Linked DNA regions of Coturnix japonica. The main gene of each other region encodes a partner of the protein of the gene in region 2 in a complex. Links are inferred from orthologs where the notes say so. Each region holds a gene or a part of one and is shown on either strand. Other genes may lie near its edges.

Evidence for each region. Proteins that work in one complex are often made in the same cells at the same time.
Region 1: the proteins of NAA20 (region 2) and SNCA are in contact, whole or in part, in a cryo-EM structure (PDB 7STX), measured with the Homo sapiens proteins. The link is inferred for Coturnix japonica from reciprocal best matches to the Homo sapiens genes NAA20 and SNCA. Residues at the interface, in NP_057184.1 of Homo sapiens: Leu23, Thr24, Glu25, Tyr27, His73, Val74, Thr75, Ala76, Leu77, Ser78, Leu110, Phe111, Tyr137, Tyr138, Ser139, Ala140; in NP_000336.1 of Homo sapiens: Met1, Asp2, Val3, Phe4.
Region 3: the proteins of NAA20 (region 2) and NAA25 are in contact, whole or in part, in a cryo-EM structure (PDB 7STX), measured with the Homo sapiens proteins. The link is inferred for Coturnix japonica from reciprocal best matches to the Homo sapiens genes NAA20 and NAA25. Residues at the interface, in NP_057184.1 of Homo sapiens: Thr2, Thr3, Leu4, Arg5, Thr8, Cys9, Asp10, Leu12, Phe13, Phe15, Asn16, Asn19, Leu20, Pro22, Leu23, Thr26, Tyr27, Gly28, Ile29, Pro30, Leu33, Gln34, Leu36, Ala37, His38, Pro40, Glu41, Pro49, Glu52, Met54; in NP_079229.2 of Homo sapiens: Ser226, Glu227, Ile228, Asn259, Asp261, Asp262, Trp263, Gln264, Arg318, Arg321, Leu325, Lys362, Pro363, Cys364, Thr367, Asp368, Val371, Leu457, Thr459, Glu460, Leu461, Ser504, Ala506, Leu510, Leu532, Asp533, Lys535, His536, Ile537, Gln538.

The regions. Positions count from the first base shown.
Region 1 is NC_029519.1:31,290,065-31,294,198, forward strand, and holds the start of SNCA (alpha-synuclein), read right to left. Parts: upstream 2,803-4,134; 5' UTR 2,635-2,802; intron 2,372-2,634; exon of another isoform or gene 2,351-2,371; intron 1,192-2,350; 5' UTR 1,167-1,191; coding exon 1,046-1,166; intron 1-1,045. UniProt on the Homo sapiens protein: Neuronal protein that plays several roles in synaptic activity such as regulation of synaptic vesicle trafficking and subsequent neurotransmitter release.
Region 2 is NW_015439649.1:44,832-49,055, forward strand, and holds the start of NAA20 (N-alpha-acetyltransferase 20), read right to left. Parts: upstream 2,804-4,224; 5' UTR 2,730-2,803; coding exon 2,677-2,729; intron 2,198-2,676; coding exon 2,173-2,197; intron 2,088-2,172; coding exon 1,997-2,087; intron 1,488-1,996; coding exon 1,352-1,487; intron 722-1,351; coding exon 576-721; intron 1-575. UniProt on the Homo sapiens protein: Catalytic subunit of the NatB complex which catalyzes acetylation of the N-terminal methionine residues of peptides beginning with Met-Asp, Met-Glu, Met-Asn and Met-Gln. Proteins with cell cycle functions are overrepresented in the pool of NatB substrates.
Region 3 is NC_029530.1:5,452,085-5,456,359, forward strand, and holds the start of NAA25 (N-alpha-acetyltransferase 25, NatB auxiliary subunit), read right to left. Parts: upstream 2,803-4,275; 5' UTR 2,749-2,802; coding exon 2,691-2,748; intron 229-2,690; coding exon 143-228; intron 1-142. Other genes in the region: TRAFD1 (TRAF-type zinc finger domain-containing protein 1), read left to right, coding at 3,806-3,849. UniProt on the Homo sapiens protein: Non-catalytic subunit of the NatB complex which catalyzes acetylation of the N-terminal methionine residues of peptides beginning with Met-Asp, Met-Glu, Met-Asn and Met-Gln. May play a role in normal cell-cycle progression.

The DNA.
Region 1 (4,134 bases), on a different chromosome or scaffold from region 2:
AGCATCCATTACAGAATTGACTTGCTGCCAAATCATAAAAAAAGAACGAATCTACAGAAAAGAGTGTATTTTCCTTCCTATTCTACTACCATGCAACTGAAATTAACTTAAAAAAAATAAAATGGAATTCCTCCAGTTTAAATGACCTATTCATATGTTCTTGGCAGCTTTTTTCCTGTTCATTTTTCACTATGGCATTTATGAGACAGTACTTTAAGGCCTGGTAGTTTCTAAGTGAAGACGATGATTGTGTCGTCAACAGTCCAATGTGAGATTTGAAAAGAATCTTTCCCCGGGTTCCATGCAAAGTACTCGCATAGTCTGGGTAAGTCAACTAACATCTGCTTCCCACTTTCTCCACTGTCTCAGTGACCGTAAAGGTTCTTCTTTGAGTAGCCATGGAAAATAGCTGCTGAGGATATGCAATAGTAAGTATAGAACATTAGGTTAACTTTGAAAAACAAGGAGCTGACACCTCACCATTCAAAATGTTACTGCTGAGGACCTTTATTTAGTGAAGAAAGAAAACAAGCTCCTTTCTATGGGGTGTACAGTTATCTTCCTTCTACTCCAGGAAAAGACATTGGCACGTCTTAGATTCAGTTCCAGAACCAACATCTCAAGTTTTTTCTTTAAAAATCCTGCTTAAAACTCAGGCATTCTACAGGATTCTGTGAATTTACCTCCCATATAGCAAGCATCTTAAATAGGGCCAGTCAGTAACTTGCATTGTAAGGCCTCTTCCAACAGGCAAGTTTATCCTGTACAACATTACAAATGCAGCCCCATATGACCAGCACACACAGTGACAAGAACCAAAAAAAAATACATGACACACAACAAACAGCAATCAAACAAACAAGCAACAATCGTCAAAGACCCTATGCTCAGGAGAGTTCAAATCTCATCATGTTTACTTTGCAGTTAATCCTCTCCTATGAGTGATTACATATTTCAGAGAAGAGAGAGAATTCAGCTCTTTCTTTCAGATGAGCGGGGCTGTCAGGGTACACCAATCAGCAGCACAACCTCACTGCCCACCTACCCACATAGAGGACTCCCTCTTTCGTCTTTCCTGCTGCTTCTGCCACTCCCTGCTTGGTTTTTTCTGCTGCTGCTACAACCCCTTCCTTTGCCTTGTTAAGTCCCTTCATGAAGACATCCATGGCTGAAGGATTTCTTCACACAACACTAGAAAAAAAAAAAAACAATACCAAACACACTTTAAATAATGGTTCTCAGCTTTTTTTTTTTTTTTTTGCCAGAAAATTTTATTAAAACTGATTGCACATCAAAATACTTTTGAAATACATTATTTATACTCACATATTATATAACTTCCATCTACATCCGTATTAGCAATATACACATACCTCTCTGTATCTAGGATCGCTTTCAGTATTTCAGATAGACAAAAAACAGTTAAATAACTAGAAAACAAAGGAGCTCCATTACACAACTCACCTTTACATCTCACATGCTACCACAGAGCAAGTTCAAGTTAAGCAGTATGGCTAAGGTAGTCCCTGAAAGGCCCAGGAGTTCCCACAGAAACGTACAGAAAGGTCACTGATAACGCAGTTCTCATTTGAAGTTGCACTCACTGAAAGGAACAAATCCATTCCTTGCCTACCACCATCTCCTCCAAAGGACAGTTTCTTGTCTATTAACTACAAGATCTAATCCCATCATTCGCTGATGCTCCACCTTCTCATTCAAAGGAAAAACTTAAAAACTAACAACTTTACAAACGCTTCTTCTAAATGAGAAACGTTCGCTCATTGTTGTTTGAAGAACCACTAATGTTCCAGAAGGACTTGAGCAAACACAAAACTGCTTTCCAGCAACCCAGCATTTTGCATGCAGCCCATATTGCTCTGCCAGCACTTGAGCTTTCAAAAGGGATCCTGCACATGCATCAAGACTAAGGAGGAAAAAAAAAAAAAAGCAAAGGCAAGAACATGCTACACTAATAACACCACACTACAGCTAGCAAGTAGGTTCTGTGGCAGTTATACAGCCCTACGCTACAATTAGGCCACAAAGACAGTAATTAAAGCCAGCAAGACACCCCTTTCACAATCCCGTCGCCGACAGCCCCTTCCCTTTCTCCCCCTCCCCCTCCCAGAAGATGCACTGCCTGCTAGTTCTTTCCCTCCGCCGGAGGAAGGGATGTCTAGGAAGACAGTGGGGAGCTTGCTACTAACCCGTGGCAATCAGAAGGGCAGAATCCGTGCCCCACTGACACCGTAGGCAGCACCGAGAGCAGGTGTGGGAGCACCTGGGTGCAGAGCGAGGGAAGAAAGCAGTACATGGCTACGTGGCTCAGTCTAAATAAAAGAATGGGCACCTGTGGAGGAAGGAAGAAAGAACGCGCAGGGCTCTCCCACATGTATGTGTCTGTATCTATACGGACTATCCGAGGAGAAGGGCAGGGCTACGTGAGCACATAAGCACCCAGCGGCTCCCTCACACGGCAGCCGCGGCGCCCGCTGGTTTCCCCTCCCGTTCCCTTCCTCCTTCGTGCCCAAAGGAGAACACGTTGAGCGACAAATGCACCTGTCCGCACACCCACCCCTGCGGCTGCCCAGCCCCAGGGCGAGCAGAGCCTCTCATGCACTCCCCACCACCTACCGCTGGGTCCGCCGCTGCAGGAAGGCGGGGGGAGGCAGGGCAGGAGGAGGGCGAAGCGCAGAGAGACCTGATGGGAGCTGCCCCTTCTCAGCACATCGCCAACTCTCCCGACGGCAGCAAGGCAGGCAGCGAGTGTGAAGGAGAGGCAGGGTGCGGGGCGGGGGCGGTAGGAGGAGGGGCCGGGGGCGGTGGGGCGGCTCCCAGCCTCCATCCCCTTCTGGGTGGGAATGTGCTGCGGGTCGGGTATGCGTCGTGACGTGGGGGTGGGAGGTAAGGATAGGAAAGAAGAGGGGAGGCTGAGGTCCTGGTCATCTCGTGGCACCACCTGTCCGCTGTTCGCCCCGGCGGCTGAATCACAGCACTCAGAAGCAATGCGAGCAAGCTGTTGCTAGTGAATTCAGCACACCTGTTTCGCTTCACCCACGGCTCAGAAAACGCCCCCGAGCTCTTGGTTACTTATCTTCCTCTCGTAAGCCTTCAGGCCGGAGTGACTTGAGGTGAACGCTCTCAGGATTCACGCTCCCAGCTCATTTTTAAGGATGGCAGGTAATACTCTTGTAGGTAAAACAAGATCCTTAACCCCACAGCATAATATAATAAAATCTTTGTCTAAACAAGGATGAGAAGCCCAGCCTCACACCTGTTGGTCTCCATTGTACAGACCAGAGCCACTGCATTTCCCCTCTTGGTCTGTTACACTCAAGTCACTTTTCCCCAGAAAGGGAAGGCAATGTCACTTCTCTGCATTGCTGCAGAGCGTAGGCATGAAAAGCCAAATTCAGTGGAAAACAAGGTATTAGAACAGATGGACCTTCAGCATCAGTACATCAGTCAGCATGCTGTACAGATCCTGCAAAACCTTGCAAAAACAGTTTGTTCTGTCATTGCGCTCCAAAGGAGAAGCAGAGCTTGGTACAGATGAGACACAGGGATGTGAGCTGCACAAAGCACCTTCCATCCATCATACTGGGCAGACAGCAGACAGGTTCCTGCTTTTATTTCCATTCTGAGCACACAGTGCAGAGTTTTCTCTTTTTCAGGTTTCTTAATGTTTCTTTACCGCTTGGTAATCTTCCTTGGGATTCATTCCACTACTACATTTAACCAAGCAAACATTTGGTGAAATGTATTTTTTTGTGTGAGAAGGTGCTGACTGAGAACACAAACCATTCCTTCATAATTCTGCTCTCCAGAAAATCCTTAGCAAATGATCCAGCAATTGCACATCCTATTCATCATGAGCTACACTTTACTTGCAGTCAAGGTTGAAATTGCAGAAATAACACATTTTACATGAGCAACAATAACATCTCAAATTAATGACTTTGTCTGGCTAGATAGTCAGTGTTTGAGTGGAAAGCAGCTCTGTCCCCCTGGGACCTTAAGTAAATCCATACTCTGAAAAGCAACAGCTCAAGTGGTACGGAAGCCAACACAGCAGCAGTGCATTTCTACTCAGAGACAATAGATGAGTAGGTGATCAGAGACTTCAGATGAGGC
Region 2 (4,224 bases):
AAAACATCCAAAAATAGCAAACGACAGTTGCTTCAGTTTAGTTAACGGGGTACCCACAATATATTTGAAATGATCGTGTCCTCTACCCTTTGAATTGAAAAATCTCTGTCACTATTGTCTGTTAACTCCTGTCATGATTTAGTCAGGACATCTGGGACAATAACATTTCAAGTCCCTGTTACCAAGGGGGAGAGGGAGCCATAAAAGAGCAGGGCTATTATCTTCCCTAATAACATTAGGGATAGGCCTGGACGCTTTGCAGGAACATACTTTAACAAGAAGAATTAGGTAAGTAACTATGTTATTTAATCTTACCTATAAGGTATCTTTCCACTTGTTAACTGTCTCGAATTTAATTTACCACAGATGCTATAAGATCTGTGAACTGCAGGATTAAAACAATGTAAAGCTCAGCAGGAAACAAACCTGTCTACAGGAGTAAATAAATTTCCATTCAACAACAACCAACTACATTTTTTCACACTAAAAATCAAACAAAAAAAGCATAGAAACAACTCTTGGAACGCTCAGCATCAGAACCTTCCCATTCAACTTGAGGCAGAACAAGCACTTACCATAAGCATCTTCATCTGGCTCCCCATTGCTAGCAGAGTAGTACTCTAACACTGTCCGGTACACGCTGTAGCCCAGTTGCTTATACATATTTACTGCAACCTGATTGGATACTCTCACAAAGAGATCAACGAAAAATCCACCTTTTCTTTGAAAAAAAAGAATAAAACACGGTAAGGACGAGCAGGTGAACAAACCGCCAATTAAGAACTGCCAACCTGTATTCAGACCAAGAAACAGCCTGACGTGGCAGTGCACTCAGCAGACATCATTCACAACAGTAACAGATGTGCTCCTTGAACAAGGAACAAATCTGAAGTAATGGTGATGGTCAAATGACCGACAGTGACATCAGAATTACTAACAGGAAGAACAGGAGAAACTAAACACCCACACAAGCTTTATTTCTGTAAAGCATTCACTTTTTTTTAACACTATACTTCAGGTGCATTTCAGTTGCATTAACTTACGGACCAGCTACTTCAAAAAGCAAACAGGTGATGTTTTACGAAGCTCCCTTCCTACTAAGGGAAGGACATTTTATACAGCATCTTTGCTACTTCCTATTTGTGCTGGGAAGTTGGTTTTCATAGACATCAAAATATTTTAAGCTACCAAAGAACATCCATCATTCTGTTCCTGTCACTAAAGGAAATCAGGGCACTAGTTAATGGAGGATTCTGGGTGTGCTTCATGTTTATGATATACCTAAAGCAAGGGCAGGGACCTATAGGCAGAACAGTCAAAAAGATCAGTGTGAAACGAGTGTAATATTCACTTCTCTGAGATCTCCTCCAGCAGTTCCATCAGTTTGGCAGCCAGGCCCAGCCGCCGGAATTCCGGTGCCACGGAGAGCGCAGTGACGTGCCCGTGCCACTCCTCCCGAGCCACGGATCCTTCTGCTTTACCCATGACTGAAACACACACAGCGTCAGCACGGCAGCGCCTCCATCAGCACCGTCACACATCGGGGTGATAATAAACAGCTGCAACGACCGCGGCTGAACCGGGTGTATCTACATCGTTACGGTTCAGCCGCTCTGTGCGACTGCGGCTCACACGGCGCAGCTCCACCGGCACATGGACGCGTACCCGGCAGGGCGCACTGCTGGCCGGGTATGGAGCTCTGCTGGGACGGGCCCAGCACGACGCCTCCGCTGCCAACACTGCCCGACGGCAGCACCGATACCGACAGCACCGATACCGACAGCACCGATACCGACAGCACCGATACCGACAGCACCGATACCGGCAGCACCGATACACCGATACTGACAGCACCGATACCCTGACACTGACAGCACCGATACCGACAGCACCGATACCCTGACAATGACAGCACCGATACCGACAGCACCGATACCCTGACACTGACAGCACCGATACCGACAGCACCGACCCGGCCCACCCCGCCAGCACTCACTGTAACCCATGAGCTCCCCGCCCGGTGCCTCCGCCACGATGAAGTACTCGGGCCAGTGCGCCAGGTACTGCAGGTAGAAGGGGATGCCGTACTGCGAACCGCCGTTAAGGAGCACGACAGCGGCACGGCCGGCGCCCCCCCCCGCCTCCCCCCGTCCGGGCGCACGGGAAGGATACGGTCTCGGTCAGCGGGTCCAGGTTGCTGCGGGGAGAAAGCGGCGATCAGCGGCAGCACGGAACGACCGCCCGGGAACGGGGCTCAACGGGGTGTGTGTGTGTGTGTGTGTGTGTGTGTGTGTGTGTGCGCCAGCGGGGACGGGGCTCACACACGCGCTGTGTTACCGGGGCTCACACACACACACGCTGTGTTACCGGGGCTCACTCACACGCTGTGTTACCGGGGCTCACACACACTCTGTGTTACCGGGGCTCACTCACACACTGTGTTACCGGGGCTCACTCGCACGCTGTGTTACCGGGGCTCACTCACACGCTGTGTTACCGGGGCTCACACACACGCTGTGTTACCGGGGCTCACTCACACGCTGTGTTACCGGGGCTCACACACACGCTGTGTTACCGGGGCTCACACACACGCTGTGTTACCGGGNGGGCTCACACACACGCTGTGTTACCGGGGCTCACACACACGCTGTGTTACCGGGGCCGGGGCTCACTCACATGTTGTTGAAGCGGAACAGGTCGTCGCAGGTGAAAGCGCGGAGCGACGTCATGGCGGCCGCCGTGCTGATGGCGCTGCCCCGGAAGTGCTGGCGGCGCGAGGAGCCCTTCCGGGGCGGTGCCCTGCTGCCGCGGACTGGGAGCGGGGACAGAAGGAGCGCGGGCGGCAGCGGGCGGCAGCGGGCGGCAGCGGGCGGCAGCGGGCGGCAGCGGGCGGCAGCGGGCGGCAGCGGGCGGCAGCGGGCGGCAGCGGCGCCTCCGTCCGTCGGGGCGGTACCGGCGCAGCGGGCCGGGCCCGTCGGGCTGCGCTGCCACCCTCCCCTCACAATTACCGCGGGGATGCCGCCGCCCCGTGCCGGCCTGTCAGCACAGCCCCGCCCACAGCCGCGTCCCGCACCGGCACGGCCGCTGCCACAAGAGCCAATGTAAGCACCGCCATTGTAACCGCGTACAGTGCGCGCTGCCGGCTCCGCACACACTGTGCCGCCATGGCAGCACCTGCTGAGCGCAGGCACCGGTCACTTCACTCCGGAGCCCGGAGCCAGAAGCCAAGGGCAGCACAACACAGCGACACAGCCCGTACCAGCACTGCTCGGCCACAGCACAGCAACAACACACAGAACCGGGCGTACAGGATATTCCGTGTAAACAGATGAAGCATTTCAATTCCAAATGGTCAAAATGTTTGTAAGTTTTTATGCAAACATCAGTAACAAACAAGCACAGACACTTCTCCAAGGTTTCAAACGCCTGTTCTGGTAGATAACGCGTGTTCTCACAGCTCACTGCATCACAGAAACCTTAATGCTGGAAAAGACCTTCAAGACTATCTAAACCAACCGTCCACCAACCACCTGATACTGCCACTAAACCACATCCCTATGTACTTAGCCATCCACGTATAAATAAAATGGACAGTACCAATTGAGATGCATACCTCATTCTCAATTTATTTATAAAGAAGAAGTGTCAACACTAGAAAACACATTGATAACCAGTGGTTTGAACAGCGAAGGTGGGACCTAAAAAGGTCTGACTGAACTGAACAACCTTAGGTCATTATCAAATTGCTCATCTGCCAGGAATGCTGAAATGCAAGAGTTTACACCTGCAATATTCCATCAGAATACCCACATCAAATCAAATATAATCTCCAAACCAGTAAATAAAAAACATTAACACGAAACATCAGAAGACCACTGCGAGTTCTTATTGCTTTTTCAGTTAAATAATGCTCTTCGAGTAAACTGGAAACCAAACAGTCTCTACTGTAGTTTGCTCATCCTCCTGCTCATTTATTAACACTGGAAGCAATCAGTTATCATATGAGGTGGTAACAGAGGCATTAAAGAAAAATGCTGTTTAGGTACAAGAACATCCCTACCCTCCCTCCCCCACCCTCGCCCCAAAGCCCACAATAACCACTTAGTGCCAGTAGAGGAGCAAAACTTGATAGACAAAACCAGAAATGTGACTACAGTAAGAAGGAAAGGAAGAGATACAGCCTTCTTATATACTCAAAATCTGACATCTCCCAAAATGAAGCAT
Region 3 (4,275 bases), on a different chromosome or scaffold from region 2:
TGCATGGATCAGAATAGTCAGATGTTCCAGAGTGCTCTGAACACACCGTGGTCTCTGGAAGATCAGACCACACAGAGCACAGCAGAGCACTGCAAGTCTCCGACGATGCTCCACCACCAAGTCAGTGAACGACCCCACTTACCTTTGCACAGTGAAGATCCTTGTGTTTTTTGAGCAGTTTATCTGCCTGCTGGATCGCCATTTTATTATTGCCATTATCAAGGTAATCTGCGTAAGAAGAACACACACAGCATTAAAACAGAACACAAAACCATTCTAGAAAGCTACCTCTAATTTCACCGAGGGCTACGCGCTGTTAGGGCAGCAGTGCAAAATGCATTTTTCCTGTGCAATTATTCCTAAACCAAACAGTCAGGAAATGTGTCACTTTGTAGACTAAGCATTCATCTTGCTGTACCAGTTCTTGTCATCCAAACAAACAAGCTTCTGTAATTACTCCACAAAGGTCATCACACCAACAAAAGAGCTGTATGACAGAGCGCTTCTGCAGCAACAGCCCTTCACTAGAAACTGAGATTTCACTCTTTGCTTCAGGAAAAGTAAGAATTAATTGGGTGTGCTGTTGGGACATTTCCAATGACTTTTAATGGGCTGTTGGTCAGAAACAACATGCTTGCAATCTATCAAAGCATTAAGTGAGATGAATTACTTGTTCACTTGCTCTATACTAAGAGGCAGAACAAGACCATCCCCTAACAGAACACCACTGTGCCTTAACCAGAGCAGTTCTAAAGACAAAGAAGAGGAGATATCCTGACGTGCCAACAAGGGAAGGGTCTGCCTGCACCGTTCTGGCCTCTCCCCTAACAAATTACAAGCAGATCTAATGCTGGAATACTGCAATTACATTACACATCCTTTTCTCTTCAAGATCACAGCTCTCATTATGAGATAGAACTCTTAATGAGTCAAGAGGTGACCTTCAGTGATTCCTCGGTACGTTGTACAAAATGTGCATCTATACTAATGAGATTTATACTCTGCAGCTTTAACGTTTGTTTCCATCAGCCAAGTGGTGCAGATTTAAAGTCGAACTAATTGGACTCCTGAGACCACGCAGACAAAACCTCAAACCAGGCAGCCTGCCCCAACCAACCAAAACAAGATGTTGCTGTATCAGATATTCCGACCACCTCAACCTGTAACACGGCGCCTTTACACGAGTTACAGGTAACCTACAGGAACCTGTGCATCACCTTTAACCTTAAAGCTTCAGCACAGACTCATCAGTGAAGGGGTTTCAAATATTCTGCACACAACACCCCAGCGATCTCTCCACATACAGGCAGATGTTTCTTGGTTTAAGGATCCATGTTATAACTTCCACTTGCACACAAATTACCTGCCAGCCTGCACTGCCTGCCTTGGGGCTGTAACAGCAACTCACTGATAGCATCTCTGCTATAGGCCTGCTGAAGTAAATCAAATGAACCACAAGCCTCTCTAAACTGCACAATAAAAAGATTATATTTTGCAACAAGGAATAAGTTTGTTGGAAGCCAAAACATTTGGCAACTCCTAAAGAAATCTCAGCTACAGGAAAAAAAACATTTAGTTCTATGCTGGCTACAGGTCTGCAGGTGGTTATGTTCGATGGATGGAAGTGCAACATGTGAAGCTACAGGTGAAGGCAGAGAAATGAAGTCGAACAATAAAGACATCTGTCAATGAGCCCCAACTAATCAAGGCAGAAGGTGCGAAATGAAAGGCACTTTTTAGAGTAAAAGAGCAAACTTGAACCTCATTCTGCACATCTCCTGCCTGCAGCCTCTATGAAGCTGAGCTTCTACCTGGGTAAGGGGCAGCACCAAATTCTGACCTCATGGAGCAGAAGTAGCAGAAAGCACGTTTAGATCAACATCAGCAACAGCCGTACTCCAAAAGCAACGCAAGGAAACACGTATCACCTGGGTTAACATCTATTCAATCAGTTTCAGACTAGACATTACATAGTTTATAGCAAAAATTACTGGATGCTAATAAACGTGGTAATCACACCACGTTTACCAGGTGCACCCCAAGGCAGCGGCAGCTCCTTTACAGGGAGAGGAACAGAAAGGAAACGTGCCCGTTGTGTGAATTACGATCCATTTCACATTTTCAGAGCAGGAACGACACCGTAGCCCGGGGAATCGCATTTTTCTCTCTCTACTTGCAGACACACAGAAACTTGTTAACAATTTCTTAAGCAATCTCAGCTGCATGCAACATCCCTGGAAACGTTTTGGGGCAGCTCACCCCAGCGCTTTCCCAACACTCCCGCTCCTCTCAACTTGGTTCATAATCCAATTCATTTCCCTAACAAACTAATCAGTCCGTGCCGCTCCGCACGTAACTTTAAAGCATCCGCGACCGCTCGTTTGTTTTCGTTACTCGAACAAACCGACCCGTAACCCCAACTCCCCACGCAGGGACAGGCATGGGACCGAACGGCTCCGCTACGAAATCAAACGGGGAACGGCGACACCCGGCACGGAGCAGGGAGCCCCGGCACCGCGGGGCGGGAGGCCGCAGCGCCGGGCGGAAGGGGCGGCCTGGCGGCACACAGCGGGCCTGCTCGCTGCCCGCCACACAGCGCAGCCCCGTGTGTCCGCTCAGCTCCATGGGGCGGCGGCACGGCGAGACACGCCGGGCCGGGCCCGGCAGGGAAGGAGCCCCGCGCACCGTACCGTAAATGGGCCGCAGGCGCCGGTCGTTGGGGTCCTGCACATGGCCCCGCGCCGCCATGATGAGAGCGCACAACCGCACTGCGCAGCCGCAGGGCCGGGCCGAGCCGGGGGCGGGGGAAAGGGAGCAGCGCTCCGCCCAGCTGCGATGTGACATGGCTGCGGGGAGCCTTAGGGCGGGGATGGGGATAGTGCGGCGATAGTGATGGGTTTGGGGACGTGTTTGTATTCCTATAGCTCACAGATGGGCCAGAATGTGTTAGAGCTGAAGATACTGTGTTGTGTCTGAAGGTACCGTCCGGCTTCGTTTGCTTTATGTTCACCTCGACATCACCAACGTATAACGCTGACGGGTCAAACTGATTTTATTCTGTTCATAGAACGGTTTGAGTTGTTAAGGGCTCTTAAAGGCCTGCAGTGCTCAGGGACACCCACAGCTCCATCAGTGCTCACAGCCCCATCCCCTGACCATGGGTGCCTGCAGGGATGGGGCACCTCCACCTCTCTGTGCACCCTGTGCATCACTGCCCTCAGTGTAAGAAGGAAACACAACCAGACACAACTCGGCTCTCACATCACACCCCGGAGCCGCTGCCCGGTGACGTCTGCGCCGGCCAATCGGTGCCGAGGGGGCGGAGGGGCCGTTTGGCCGGTGAGCGGCACCCACCGCATCCAGTCAGCTGGCGGCGTGCCTCGGGGGCGGGCGCAAGGAGACCGGTAGGAAGCGCGGGGCCGGGCCCGGTACCGGTGGCTGAGTGCGGAGAGCGGGGCCGTTCTGGTGTTAACCCCTGCTGGGGCACTTGTATCGCGGCTGTTTCGTCTCCCTGTGTCGCTGCGGTAAGCAGGGCTTTCTTTGCTGTCTATACGAAGCGTGGCCTGTCCCGGCCCCAATCCACAGCCCGGAGCTGAGAGAAGGAGCCGTTGGCCGCCGCTGAAGCGCGGTGTCCCGGGGCGGATCGCTGAGTGTGAACGGCCGTACCGGGCAGTTCATTGGGGCAGCGCTCCGGGGCGGCTGCTGAGTGTACAGCCAGTGGGGGCGGCTCCGCAGAAGCTCGCAGCGAGCAGAAGCGAAACTGCCCGTGTAAGCATCGCTTTCGGTTCCCGGGAGGAACGCGGCCATGGCTGCAGTCATGGAGGAGCAGACCCAGCTGTGCGGTAACTGGTAAGGACCGGGATCTGGCGGTGGGGTGGGTGATAACATCGCTTTGGGGGGCTACAAAGTGTTAGAAGGCGTAATTCAACAGACAGCGCTCTCTAGAAACGTTTGGGTTTTTCTCTCCCCCCTATCCCCGCCCCCCAAGTATTAATGTGTTATAAAGCAGTTTTCCCAACCATTACTCGAGTTCCTAAGTTACCAGGCAGCCGAGCAGCTACCACGGCACTCCAGTAAATACAAACTCTTGATTTGCAGTGATGTAGACACTGAGGATGTGATTCAAAGCTGTTCTCGACACATGTTTTTAGGCGTTAAGGACATAAAAACAGTCAGTATGTACGTGTTGAGGAGGCAGTTGTGTCTCTTAGATAAGCTGTTTCTCTTTAGAAGTTCCAGCATTGGTCATGTGTTTACTGATAATGGCGTAGCTTT